Styela clava: one gene and its partners. The main gene of each other region encodes a partner of the protein of the gene in region 3 in a complex. Links are inferred from orthologs where the notes say so. Each region holds a gene or a part of one and is shown on either strand. Other genes may lie near its edges. The genes, in order: eukaryotic translation initiation factor 3 subunit K-like, eukaryotic translation initiation factor 3 subunit G-like and eukaryotic translation initiation factor 3 subunit C-like.

Region 1 (3,605 bases), on a different chromosome or scaffold from region 3:
AGAATAAAGGACAATTAGCACTTTTTCTTCTGAATGCTAAAAAGGACAGAAAAGCTTGATTAAAGGACGGTTGGCAACGCTACGTGGGAGATAATTACAGTGATACCTCGGTGCTCGATTGTCGCCGAGTGAGAGACGTCACCTAAACCGCGCATCTCGGCAGTCGGCACTTGATATACAGGGTCAGGGGTCAGCAAGCACACGCTGCTTGTCTAAGTCTCCTTCGACAACGTCCTGACGTTCGTGTAATGCAGTAATGTCTAATTCTAATATATTGTATAACCATAATGGATAAGCGATATTTACGAACATCAGAGTTGCAGTCAGCACAGGGGTACCGGTATTATAAATGTATAATGTTAAAGTGATAGCGATATTTTTGAATGTTAAAGTTATATCACCGCGTGACGAAATAATAAATTCTCTCTCTCTCGCGTGAAGTTATTTATTAATATTCAAGTTTCACTTACAGTGTACAGACTTACGGTACCGTACTCCCGTACGGTATGTTACAGTCACCAAGTTACCGACTCGTACTTCGTCCAGCAATATGTCAGTACAAACTTTACAAAAAAAATACAGAATTCAGGAAATAATGTAGGCTACCCTGAGTTGCAGTTATCGGTGTTTAGGAATTTCAAAATTATAATAACTGCAGAACTAAGTTAGCTGTGTAAATGCATAGAATTTGGTACCGTACCGTATAACAGTATAATAGAATTTACAAAACCTGAAAACGGTCTTGTATAGCAGTGCGGTATTTACGAATGCATAAATAGGAATGCCCAATCAATCTTTTACAGTATTATACACCGAATAAAGCTCATTTTTTCATAATTAGCCTATATTAAAATCTTGTTTCAGTGTTAAGTGCTTGGCTCGGTGGTGTGGCGCATCGTGCTAAGCGTTAGGAATACGCTCGCCACCGCATCTCTGATTCCTCTTCGTGGGATCGCAGGTTCGAATCCCATGCGGGGATGATCATGTGCGAGAGGATTGCTAGACTCCTCGCCGCCGTAGCCTGTAGGGTGGTTCAGGTAACTGCTGGTCGGTTACGGCTTCTTCCACCATCAAGTCCATGCTTCCGAAAACAAATAACTAACCAATCCCATACCCGACCTGGACTGGTAAGCCGGACGAGAGGCTGTGGTTCGCCATATGATTAAGCCGTCTTATCGGCTCTCCTCTCCCCCGGAATAAACATGTGAATCCTATCCTAAAATGTAAAAGCCAAATTCCATATGTCTGATTGTCAGATAATAAATTCTTAATACCACTGACTGACTGATACTGATACCACCTCAGGGTGTAAAAGATTGGCAGATTGGTTATGCAGTATCTGGAAAAATTCTTGAGCTTATTTCTGAACTGCAGAAAGAAAGTGTGAAACTGTCCCAGATTACTAAATCCATTTGAACAATATGGCTCTTGATGTAATCATTCTAGCCTTATTCGTTTGGCTGTTTTATTATTATAATAAAGCTGTCAAGTTACATTCTGACATTTGTTAACTTGCTACATATTTTGTTTTTCTAGTTGTATTTTTACTAAAAAAAATGGATGCTCCAATATCACCAGAAACAATATCTAGAATGTTGCAAGGAATAAACCGATATAATCCGGAAAATTTAGCAGTTCTTGAAAAGCATGTGGACTGGCAAGTTCATTCCGGTTCTTATGACTTGCCCGCAAATCTAGCTGTTTTGAAACTTTATCAGTTCAATCCAGCTTACTTTCAAACACAGAGTGTTTGTCAAATCTTACTGAAAGCTCTATCCACTATTCCAAGTCCAGATTTTTCTCTCTGCACCAGTCTAATTGACCAGAATCAGCAAGAGGACCCAAGCATTGGTCGCCTGCTTCTTTTACATCATTTGATAGAAACTTGCAAGTTCACTCATTTTTGGCAGGAGGTCAATGCAACACCGGATCTAATCAGTGGAGTAGCAGGGTTGGAAGAAGCAGTCAGAAAGTTTATTTGTCATGTTGTGTCTGTGTCTCATCAGAATATTGATATTGGAGACCTTCGTGCGATTCTCGGAGACTTGAATGAGCATGAATTGGAAGTATGGATTGAAAGATGTGGTTGGAAACAAAAAGAAGGCGGTTTAATTTCTGTGGCAAATCATGAAGAGAAAGTTAAAACTAAAAATATTGTGGAAAAAGTTGGATTTGAGAAAGTCCAAAATGTTATGGCATCAACTTGTTGATATTTAAACCTTTTATTAGTTTGCCTGCAAGTTTGATTTTCTGGTTGGGGTACAACAGATTCTGCCAGATGGCTGGACAAAAGTGATGATGCTTTTTTCCCATGAATATATACTATCAGAATAGCAAGTTCTAATATCTGTAATACCTTTGAAATAAATTACATTGTCAATCAAAGTTTTTAACTGTTTATGTATAGAATAATACAACTTTTTGGAGCTTTTTAAATGCCGCAGCAATCTTTCCTGATATACATACTCTCCAGTTTTCTGTTGGTGGATAATCAGGAAACCTGGATTTTGAAATATTTTGTTATGAACGTCATTTTGTGATTTTATATTGATAATTTAAGTTTATAGTCTGACAAAAAAGCATGCATACATCTGGACTGATGTATAAATCATTTTGTTTATGCTTAAAGTTTAAATTGTTGCAAAGATCTATACCTAACAGTTCTTTGGTAATGATAAAAATAAATAATCTACATCCAATCATAATTTAGTTAAGATTGTGTTTCCCCTAGATTGTATTACCAACTTTTGCATTAATTAAATTCCTTTTTTTGAAACACAATTTTTCCAAGAATTCGGGTTATTTATTAAGATTTTTCTTACCTAGCATTAGGTGATGCTGAAGCAAATTATGAATTTGTGTATTATGGATTACACTATATATAAGCAATAATTAAAAGCTATTATAAGACAGTTGACTTGTAACTTGCTGCTATTTGGATGATATATGTTGATGAATTATATGATTGCTGTTCTCGTATGGTGGTGAATGAATGTCATTACTTTTTAGATTGATAATTTTGTTGTGAATTTAATGATAATATTCTAGATAAGACAATATGGCACAAAGCCTTGAAGATATGGGTATAGCTGGTCATTCTTTTTTACAAGAAGCATTGACCAATACAACTGATCCTCTGGGTGCTATAGAGGAATTTCAGCAAGAGAACAGCATTCTGTTGCCTTCACTTCAGCCAGCCTTGCCTTTGTTAGGTAAAAGTATATAAAAATATATAAGGTTAATTAAACACTCTTGATATATTGGGGGTGAAAAAGTTTTTAGTTCAAGTATGAATTTTTTGATTTTTGCAAAAGTCTTTTTCAAGAATACAAAAATTAATATTTTCACTGTAAAGGTTTTTTTAAAGTCAATTCATGTAATGTGATGCACGTCCACTTAATAAGGTAATTGTGACTTATATCTCAGCAAAGTGACTGACTATTGGCTTGCATGCCAAGAGCTATGTCACGATTTGGGTCAAATTATGGCCTTTTTTTTACGAAATAGCCATGTAAATTACGGTGTTTGGAATAAAATTTGATGTCAAGGCTGATAGAATTATGTTGGTATATAATTTGAGTGTTCCAAATATAGGTCAGGTTTTG
Region 2 (3,758 bases), on a different chromosome or scaffold from region 3:
GGACTAAAATAAGGAAAAAATTATGGCCTAACCCTGACCTGGTACACATACTACGGGAGTACCAAAATAAGCACAAGGTGGAATTTTCAAGCAGATTTTAGCAATGTAACTTTTTTGTTTTACCAAAATCACTGAATGAATTTTACCAAAAGACGATGATATTGTTGTATTTCAAAAATTTAATAAAAAAAAAATTACTACAGAAATGCCTAAATGTGTGTTTTTGTCATTGCAACATGACAGAACTAGTAACTCAATAGACACTAATGTTTTGACTATTATATTTTCATGAGCATTCAGTTAACAAATCCATAATGCAAACCTCTAGCTCCCCGAGATGGCATAGAAGATCCTCTTGCTGTTGCTCCAGCTCTCAAACTTGGAGGGACATACTTTCCACCAGTTCCACCTCCTGGTCCCGCTTGAGTTGGACTATCGACTTCATCTTTTTTTTCTTCCTCTTCCTTTTCAGCTGAAAAATTAAATACGATTAAATCTCAATGTTGAATTTTTCTTTCAGTGATCACTACAAACCAGACTATAACAAAGCGGAAATATGTGCCACGAATGTATCAGGATATCTTTGAACAATAGATATAACAAAAAAATACAGATAAATTTTTAATAAATATTCGACACAAAACCAAACTTATCCAAGATCATACATGGCCTATTTCCTGTCTTGAAATTCTTGAAAAACATGTAATATTGTAGTTGATTACGAAATTTCGATAACATAGGATCTTCTTGATCATGAATTTCCTCCTGTCTACTGTTAATGAACTGCAAGTTCACATCCTGCATGAAGAACAGAATAGATTAGAAACCCAAATTTCTTATGATGTATTTTCCATTCTATACCTCAAATAATTCCTTTGTAATAATTAACTATATATGAATTTACAGTGTAAAATGACTAACTTCTGAAATAATGGTGGTCGCACGATTTGGACCGGGAGGATCCTCCTTTGATACTCCAAATTTTGGTAAATGTTTTCTTCTGGCAACTGACTTTGATGTTTTCTGGATTTCAATCTTGTAGGTACGAACAATCTGAAATTTCATATGAAAAATTTCAAAACTTGTATCTCAAAGCAAAGTTGCATGGATATATTGGATGGATGAACAAAATTAAAACTGACAAATTAGATAAATCTTTATAATTTGAGGCATTTGGGAAATACATTGATTCATGCGCAATTTTAACCCAGTATTTCGATACTTTTATTGTTGCACTACTATTATATTTATTCAGCATATTTATTACGACTATACCGTAAGTTTATTTTGGCTGCATAACCCTGCATTATTAGCGCAAAAAGGAATGACAAATTTAAAAAAAATTTTAATAAAGAACCAGATAGGCAAATATAACTTGGGAATTAGAATAATACCTCAAGTAACTTGATTTGGAAACAGTTTATAATTTAGGCATAAATTAAGTTCTCAATTAATCAAACATGGATAGTATATAATATATGTTTTCGTGATACACAATATAAAATTCCCATGGTTAGTAATATGCCTTTGGTTTGAGTCTATGTATTTGATAAATATATTTAGCAGAATAATGACAAAAAACCAACCTTAACTTTTTTTCCATCTTCGTTTATTTTGTATTCTGTGATAATTTTTGTGTTTCCATCTTTTTTTTCTGATGAAGGCGGCAGTTGATCATGTCCTAGTTCTTGTACCTCTGCTTCTTCTACTTGATCTGCCCAACTCGATGGTTCGGCAGCATCAGCCCAACTCACTTTACTAAATAATAAAACCAAAGTTTCATATGATTCTGAATGTTTTTTAAATTTATCAATATCATATTTCTAACTATGACCAATCTGATATTGCCAAAGATGACATTTGAAAATATTTTCTAATATGGATATCCCTGAAATATGACATAGCAGAAATAGGGGTAACGGAAGATAAAACTTTTTGAATGAAAAATTCAAGATTTCAAGTGATCCGTTTCTACAGCCAAGACAAAACTACCGGCACCACTGCATCATTGGAACAGGCACCAGATATGTCACGTAATTATACTGGCCATGCTGCATAATTACTATGCATTATTTTATCAAAGAAAACTTTATTCTTACTACAGACAATATTACTTGAGAAAATTATTTTATTACTATTCAATCAAGCTTGTTTAAACTAATTAATTTCCAAAATGATGAAAGACATAATAAACCGGAAAATATCATCATCAAAAAACAAGCAGTATTCACTTGCTACTACTCTGATGAAAGTCAGTTAACAATGCTATAACATTTTTTAAGATTGGAATATGATTTGCTTCAATTATTAATTCCAATAGAGATGGAAATAAAAATGAACTTTTCAACAAATTTACACAATGGAAAAATATCAATTAGGAATTGAAAAAAAACTGCAACAAAAACATCATCATGGCACTGGACAGTGCAAAGTAGATGTTATTTGTTACTTATTAATAACCGATGTCCAGTAATATTTCGGTAATTATTTTATAAATATAAACTCAAAAACATTGACTATATACTGAACTGGGTCATGCATATGCTACGATTACAGAAACCAGAAACTTCATATTTTCCATGGCACATAGGCCATAGACCGAAGTTTGTTTGTTGACTTTGATACCTATGGTTGTTCAAGGTTCATGAGCAAGTCTTAGAAATAGAAGTTCCTTTTACCTGCTATCTTCAGACGGCATGTTCACACTGTGATGCTACTTTTTTCGTTGTTCCCTCTTTCAATTTCCATTTTTTTATATTATGTTTTATGTTAAATAAGTTAACATATTTGAAATAAAAAAAACATGTAAAATTGATATACATTAATGTAAATGATTGCTCCAATCACTTGAGAAGTACACAATACTGCATTTGGAATAAATTGTACTGTAGCATTCAACGCAATATAGGAATCGGCCGTCGTGCCAAACGTCCTCGCTTCAGAGACAAATTGAGTTTGTTTTATTGAACCAAATGTCGCGAATCGATGAACTGTGCCCTGTAACATTATATAACACAGTACGGTACATATCTCAGATGTCGCATAAAACAATACATAAAACAAACACTCAATTTGTCTGAAAAGAGGACGCAGAGAACCCATGCACAGTAGGTAATCAGAGGTCTGGAGGTGCAGTGGCGAGCGTATTCCTAACGCTCGGCACGATGCGCCACACCGCCAAACCGAAGTGAGTAGCACTGACTCGTCCTGACCATCGTTAAGAAAGAATGTGATGACTAGCATCCCAGCTATCCTCTCGCATGACCCAGCAATAGGCCTACCGCGAACCACGCCAGGGCTGCCACTTTTGCCTGACTAAAAACATCTAGATTGACCTCGAAAAACATCATGATTGAAAAATAAAACATCTAGAGAATACATCTAGATTTGAAGTCATTAAATTTGATGAAAATCAACGAAACGAGAGCATTCAAAGTTTATTATATTACAGTATTACATAATATTAGATATCGAAGAAGCTAATATCTATTATACTATTTTCAGGTTGTGCGCCATCTTGGTGCACATACTTCTGGAGGTCCCTTTTTACCGAACCTTAACGCCAACCATATCCATATGGAAAATGTTCTAAATTATGGTACCCAAAATGTGTCACCAGCAGGGGCAGACCTGCCATTACAGCATTACTGGCTACATATGTTGGTTTGTGTTTTTAATTTGCTGCCGTGGTACTCCAACTCAAAACAAGGTGCCCCGAACTCATTGCAAAATTTTTTTCTGCTTCACACTGTTTTGCG
Region 3 (3,758 bases):
GCCTCCTTGTCTTCCCATAGCTGGTAAAAGAGAAGAATTTGGTGCGAATAATAATATTGCATCTTTGTGAATGAAGAAATGCCGGCGCTCCAGCCATTTATATACTTGAAATGTGGTATATTATGCTAAGTATGTCATTGCAACACTGATTATCCTGTGTGTGTTTACAGGTTCGAATTTTGTGGGGAATGACAATACAGTGGCTTTAATCCAATACAGAATTCGTCACATGATTAAGCTGTCTTATTGGCTTTCCTCTCCTCAGAGATGAATATAAAAATATAAATAAACGAATCAAACCTCATTGATATGGTCCTCAGTTTCAACCAAATTCCTGATGTAGAAAGGAGGAATTCCTTCTTTTGCAATCACATTTTTTGCTTTCACATATTGTTTGCAGAGATTGTCAAAATCATCCAGAACCTGAAAAAAGAAAACAAGAATATCGGTCAAAGACTGAAGACTTATTGATCGAAAGTTAGGGGATCCCCCAAAACAGCGCTATTACTCCATAGTGACAGCTTGTGTCCTATCACTAATTAATTAATAACTCGTTAATTATACAACATAATTCATCCAAAATCAATAGGCTTCTGGTCCGGCATATGATGAATGCACATGCAAAATCTGGAGCAGATTCAATCTCGCTTTCGTGAGATATCGCCCGCATCTAACAGACAGACAAACAGACAAATACCTATCAACATACTTACCGATTAAAATCGATAAGTAATTACTAAACACAACTTGTGACCTAGTAGTGAGAGTGACTTAAATAAACTACCTCGCAGGTTATTAACATCTTGAATTCATACTCATGACCTCACGGAAAGAATCGGGTAGGCATGCAGGGACGCAAGATTCTGGCAATTTCAAAAATAGTGTGTAGCACCTTACATACCAGTGACTTTTTTGTGAGCATGCGCTATTTAGCAAATACAGCCACATTTTTGTTTGTTTTATAATTTACTCAAAGCAAAGTCACACTTTTTCAGTGAAGTAAAGCAAACTCAACCCCTCTAAGACGCACTATGTCCACCAATAATATGAAATTGACACAAAGTTGCTGAGCTTCAATAAAGAACACGAGATGAGAAACATAATTTGTGACACAGTACTAAACCAAACGCAGCAGGTGAAAATAAATAATCAGTTAAGCAATGTTTCTAATATCTATATAATATTCTGTATCGTTTACTGCTTACCGTTTGTGCATATTTATATCAGCTTTATTCATAACAAAAAAATAGAAAATGTTTCATAAAATGTTAAAAATTGAAATACCTTGACCATGTCGTTGATCTTTCTTGCATTTCTCATTGATTTGATCAAATTTTCGAGGCCTTCCCAAGATTTTTCTTTCGCACTTCGCACAACTCTCTTCTGATCTTCTTCATCATCACTCATCAGAAAAACTCTAGGAAAAGTAAAAACATTATGAGTCAGTGAAAAGCAAAAGTAAAGATACTTCCGAAGCATGTAAACAAGATGGCGGACACCGGAACGTAGTATGTGAACTAGGTCAGGCCATAATTTCACGTACAAATACCACTTGGCTAGTCCCCGAACTAGTATAGAACTAAAATGAAAAAAAATTGAAACAAAATTATTGCCTAACCCTAACCTGATACACATACTACATTCCGCTGTCCATTTGAATTTAAACCAGAATAGTGTAGTCTGACTCTCAGTTGGAACGTCTTTATTGTTATTTGAGTGAGAGTTGCATTTCCAAGTCAAAGGGGTTAGATACAGGAATTTGAATTCTTTTTTGTTAGAGTATGAGTTATAGACAATTAATGGTGATAATTTGAGGTATAAATTTGGTACTCATAAAGTATGTAAACCAGGATGGCGGACACTAGAGCGTACTATGTGTACCAGGTTATGTTAGGCCATAATTTTATTCCAATTTTCTTTATTTTAGTTCTATTATGAGTTCGGGGACTAGCCAAGTAACTCCCTTGTAGTGTTTGTACCTGAAATTATGGCCTAACCCTAACCTGGTACACATACTACGCTCCTGTGTCCGCCATCTTGGTTGACATACTTCGGGAGTACCAAACATTTTTGGTAGATCACAAAAAGTATTAACATAAGGATTCTCAGTCTATAATTAAAAAAGGCTTGCATACAACAAACTATTTGCGGGTAACATTGGAATTGTTTGGGGGTCACGCTTATGAAATTTTCAGAATTGAGAGTTCTGATTCTTCTGAATTTCATACTTCTAATGGGGATAACTGAATTTTGTGACAAACCCCAAAAGCGTTAAGTTCACTAAACATTTGAAACAGATAAGTAAAAAAGGATTGCATGTGTCATTCCAAAATACCCGTATCAGTGGCTGCTTATACAGAGCCTTGCTCAGGATGAAGGTGGCAAATCACTATATAAAAATGTAAATAGTAATGGTGGTATATAAAACTTTAATAACGAATTCCACTATACCTAGTTGACTGTGGTCTCTGTGGTGCAGGCGCCATTCCATCATCACTTGAGGACTCATCAGTATCGGAGCTCGATGCTCCGAAAAAACGAGACATATTTTCTTCTTGAAAAATGCAGCCACAAGATCACAAAAATTGTGTTATTTTGGCCAAAATTCTAACTGGAAATAGCAACAATCTATTGCAAAAAAAACAATGTGGCGAATTAAGACAACACTTTAATGAGACATGTGAAAAGTGTAGACAATGAAAAACATATCAATATCATCCCAAAATTCTAGAATGGTAAACTGTAATTCTATGCCTATTTTGATAATATGAATGCTCATGGTATATACATTAACAAGATTTGACTATGTTTCTTTGTAAAAACGTATCTTGAAATTTTAAATCATGTTTATTGATGTTCTATTGTAGATAATTGTCAAATTGAAATATTGGTCATGTTAATGAGTAGCAACAGAAGTTTAATAAGTTGAAACGAATTTTTAAACATCTAAATTATAAAGTGTATAGGTTTTCAAAATTAAAGAAAGACCTATAGTTTCATTAAAAGTCGACTTGTGGAAAAAAGCAAGCAATATTCTCCTGGTCTGTCTAATCAATATAATAAAAGATTGTAATTTTCAACGAGGTCAATAATAAGACTCGAATAACGAATGATACTGAACTGTTATCCTAATGATAATATCGATATGTTTTTCAAAAGTCATTGTCTAGTTATACAATACAAGCAAGGTGAAAATATACAGTTTGACAAACTCATATTAATTGAGTTAAATGAAGCAAAAAATAATATTTGAACTTTAACATGTCGAGCCCAAAGTGGAATATGAAAATAATGATAACTCGCCAAGATTTTTACATTGCCCAGAATGAAAAGAACTTTAGGAAAATATACACAAATAATGAACTTGATATTTAGACTGAACAATTTTTCGTTACCATAACAGACAAGGTTGTACAAAACTATCAAGTATTTGAATAAATTCAAAATTAACAACTTATATTATGAATTATAAATGATAGCTTGAGGTCTAGCAACACGTTACCTACCCAAGTTATGGTTAGGGACAGGGTTAAAAATAAATCATATTCATTGGGGATTCAAAATCCAGCGATAGACCTTATGTTGTAGTGTGGTTGAATCTAGAATTCAATACAAGTTAGTTAATTTGGAATTTACTCAAATACCTGACTTTGCTGAACATGCAGTTTTCAATTCAAACATATTATTTAAATGGCATTTCATGTCATATATAACTTAAGTGATACAGTTTAAATCTGTATAGAAAATTCATGTTCAAA

What was found.
Region 1: eukaryotic translation initiation factor 3 subunit C-like (region 3) and eukaryotic translation initiation factor 3 subunit K-like share a complex: the UniProt entries of both Caenorhabditis elegans proteins name them as parts of the eukaryotic translation initiation factor 3 (eIF-3) complex. The link is inferred for Styela clava from reciprocal best matches to the Caenorhabditis elegans genes eif-3.C and eif-3.K.
Region 2: eukaryotic translation initiation factor 3 subunit C-like (region 3) and eukaryotic translation initiation factor 3 subunit G-like share a complex: the UniProt entries of both Caenorhabditis elegans proteins name them as parts of the eukaryotic translation initiation factor 3 (eIF-3) complex. The link is inferred for Styela clava from reciprocal best matches to the Caenorhabditis elegans genes eif-3.C and eif-3.G.

Annotation. Positions count from the first base shown.
Region 1 is NC_135257.1:16,823,972-16,827,576, reverse strand, and holds eukaryotic translation initiation factor 3 subunit K-like, read left to right. Parts: upstream 1-1,522; 5' UTR 1,523-1,556; coding exon 1,557-2,210; 3' UTR 2,211-3,010; downstream 3,011-3,605. Other genes in the region: negative elongation factor B-like, read left to right, coding at 3,059-3,212. UniProt on the Caenorhabditis elegans protein: Component of the eukaryotic translation initiation factor 3 (eIF-3) complex, which is involved in protein synthesis of a specialized repertoire of mRNAs and, together with other initiation factors, stimulates binding of mRNA and methionyl-tRNAi to the 40S ribosome.
Region 2 is NC_135254.1:23,799,125-23,802,882, forward strand, and holds the start of eukaryotic translation initiation factor 3 subunit G-like, read right to left. Parts: upstream 2,834-3,758; 5' UTR 2,699-2,833; coding exon 2,679-2,698; intron 1,759-2,678; coding exon 1,587-1,758; intron 1,054-1,586; coding exon 922-1,053; intron 799-921; coding exon 666-798; intron 473-665; coding exon 323-472; intron 1-322. UniProt on the Caenorhabditis elegans protein: RNA-binding component of the eukaryotic translation initiation factor 3 (eIF-3) complex, which is involved in protein synthesis of a specialized repertoire of mRNAs and, together with other initiation factors, stimulates binding of mRNA and methionyl-tRNAi to the 40S ribosome.
Region 3 is NC_135250.1:3,241,910-3,245,667, forward strand, and holds the start of eukaryotic translation initiation factor 3 subunit C-like, read right to left. Parts: upstream 2,636-3,758; 5' UTR 2,547-2,635; coding exon 2,452-2,546; intron 1,418-2,451; coding exon 1,285-1,417; intron 424-1,284; coding exon 301-423; intron 21-300; coding exon 1-20. UniProt on the Caenorhabditis elegans protein: Component of the eukaryotic translation initiation factor 3 (eIF-3) complex, which is involved in protein synthesis of a specialized repertoire of mRNAs and, together with other initiation factors, stimulates binding of mRNA and methionyl-tRNAi to the 40S ribosome.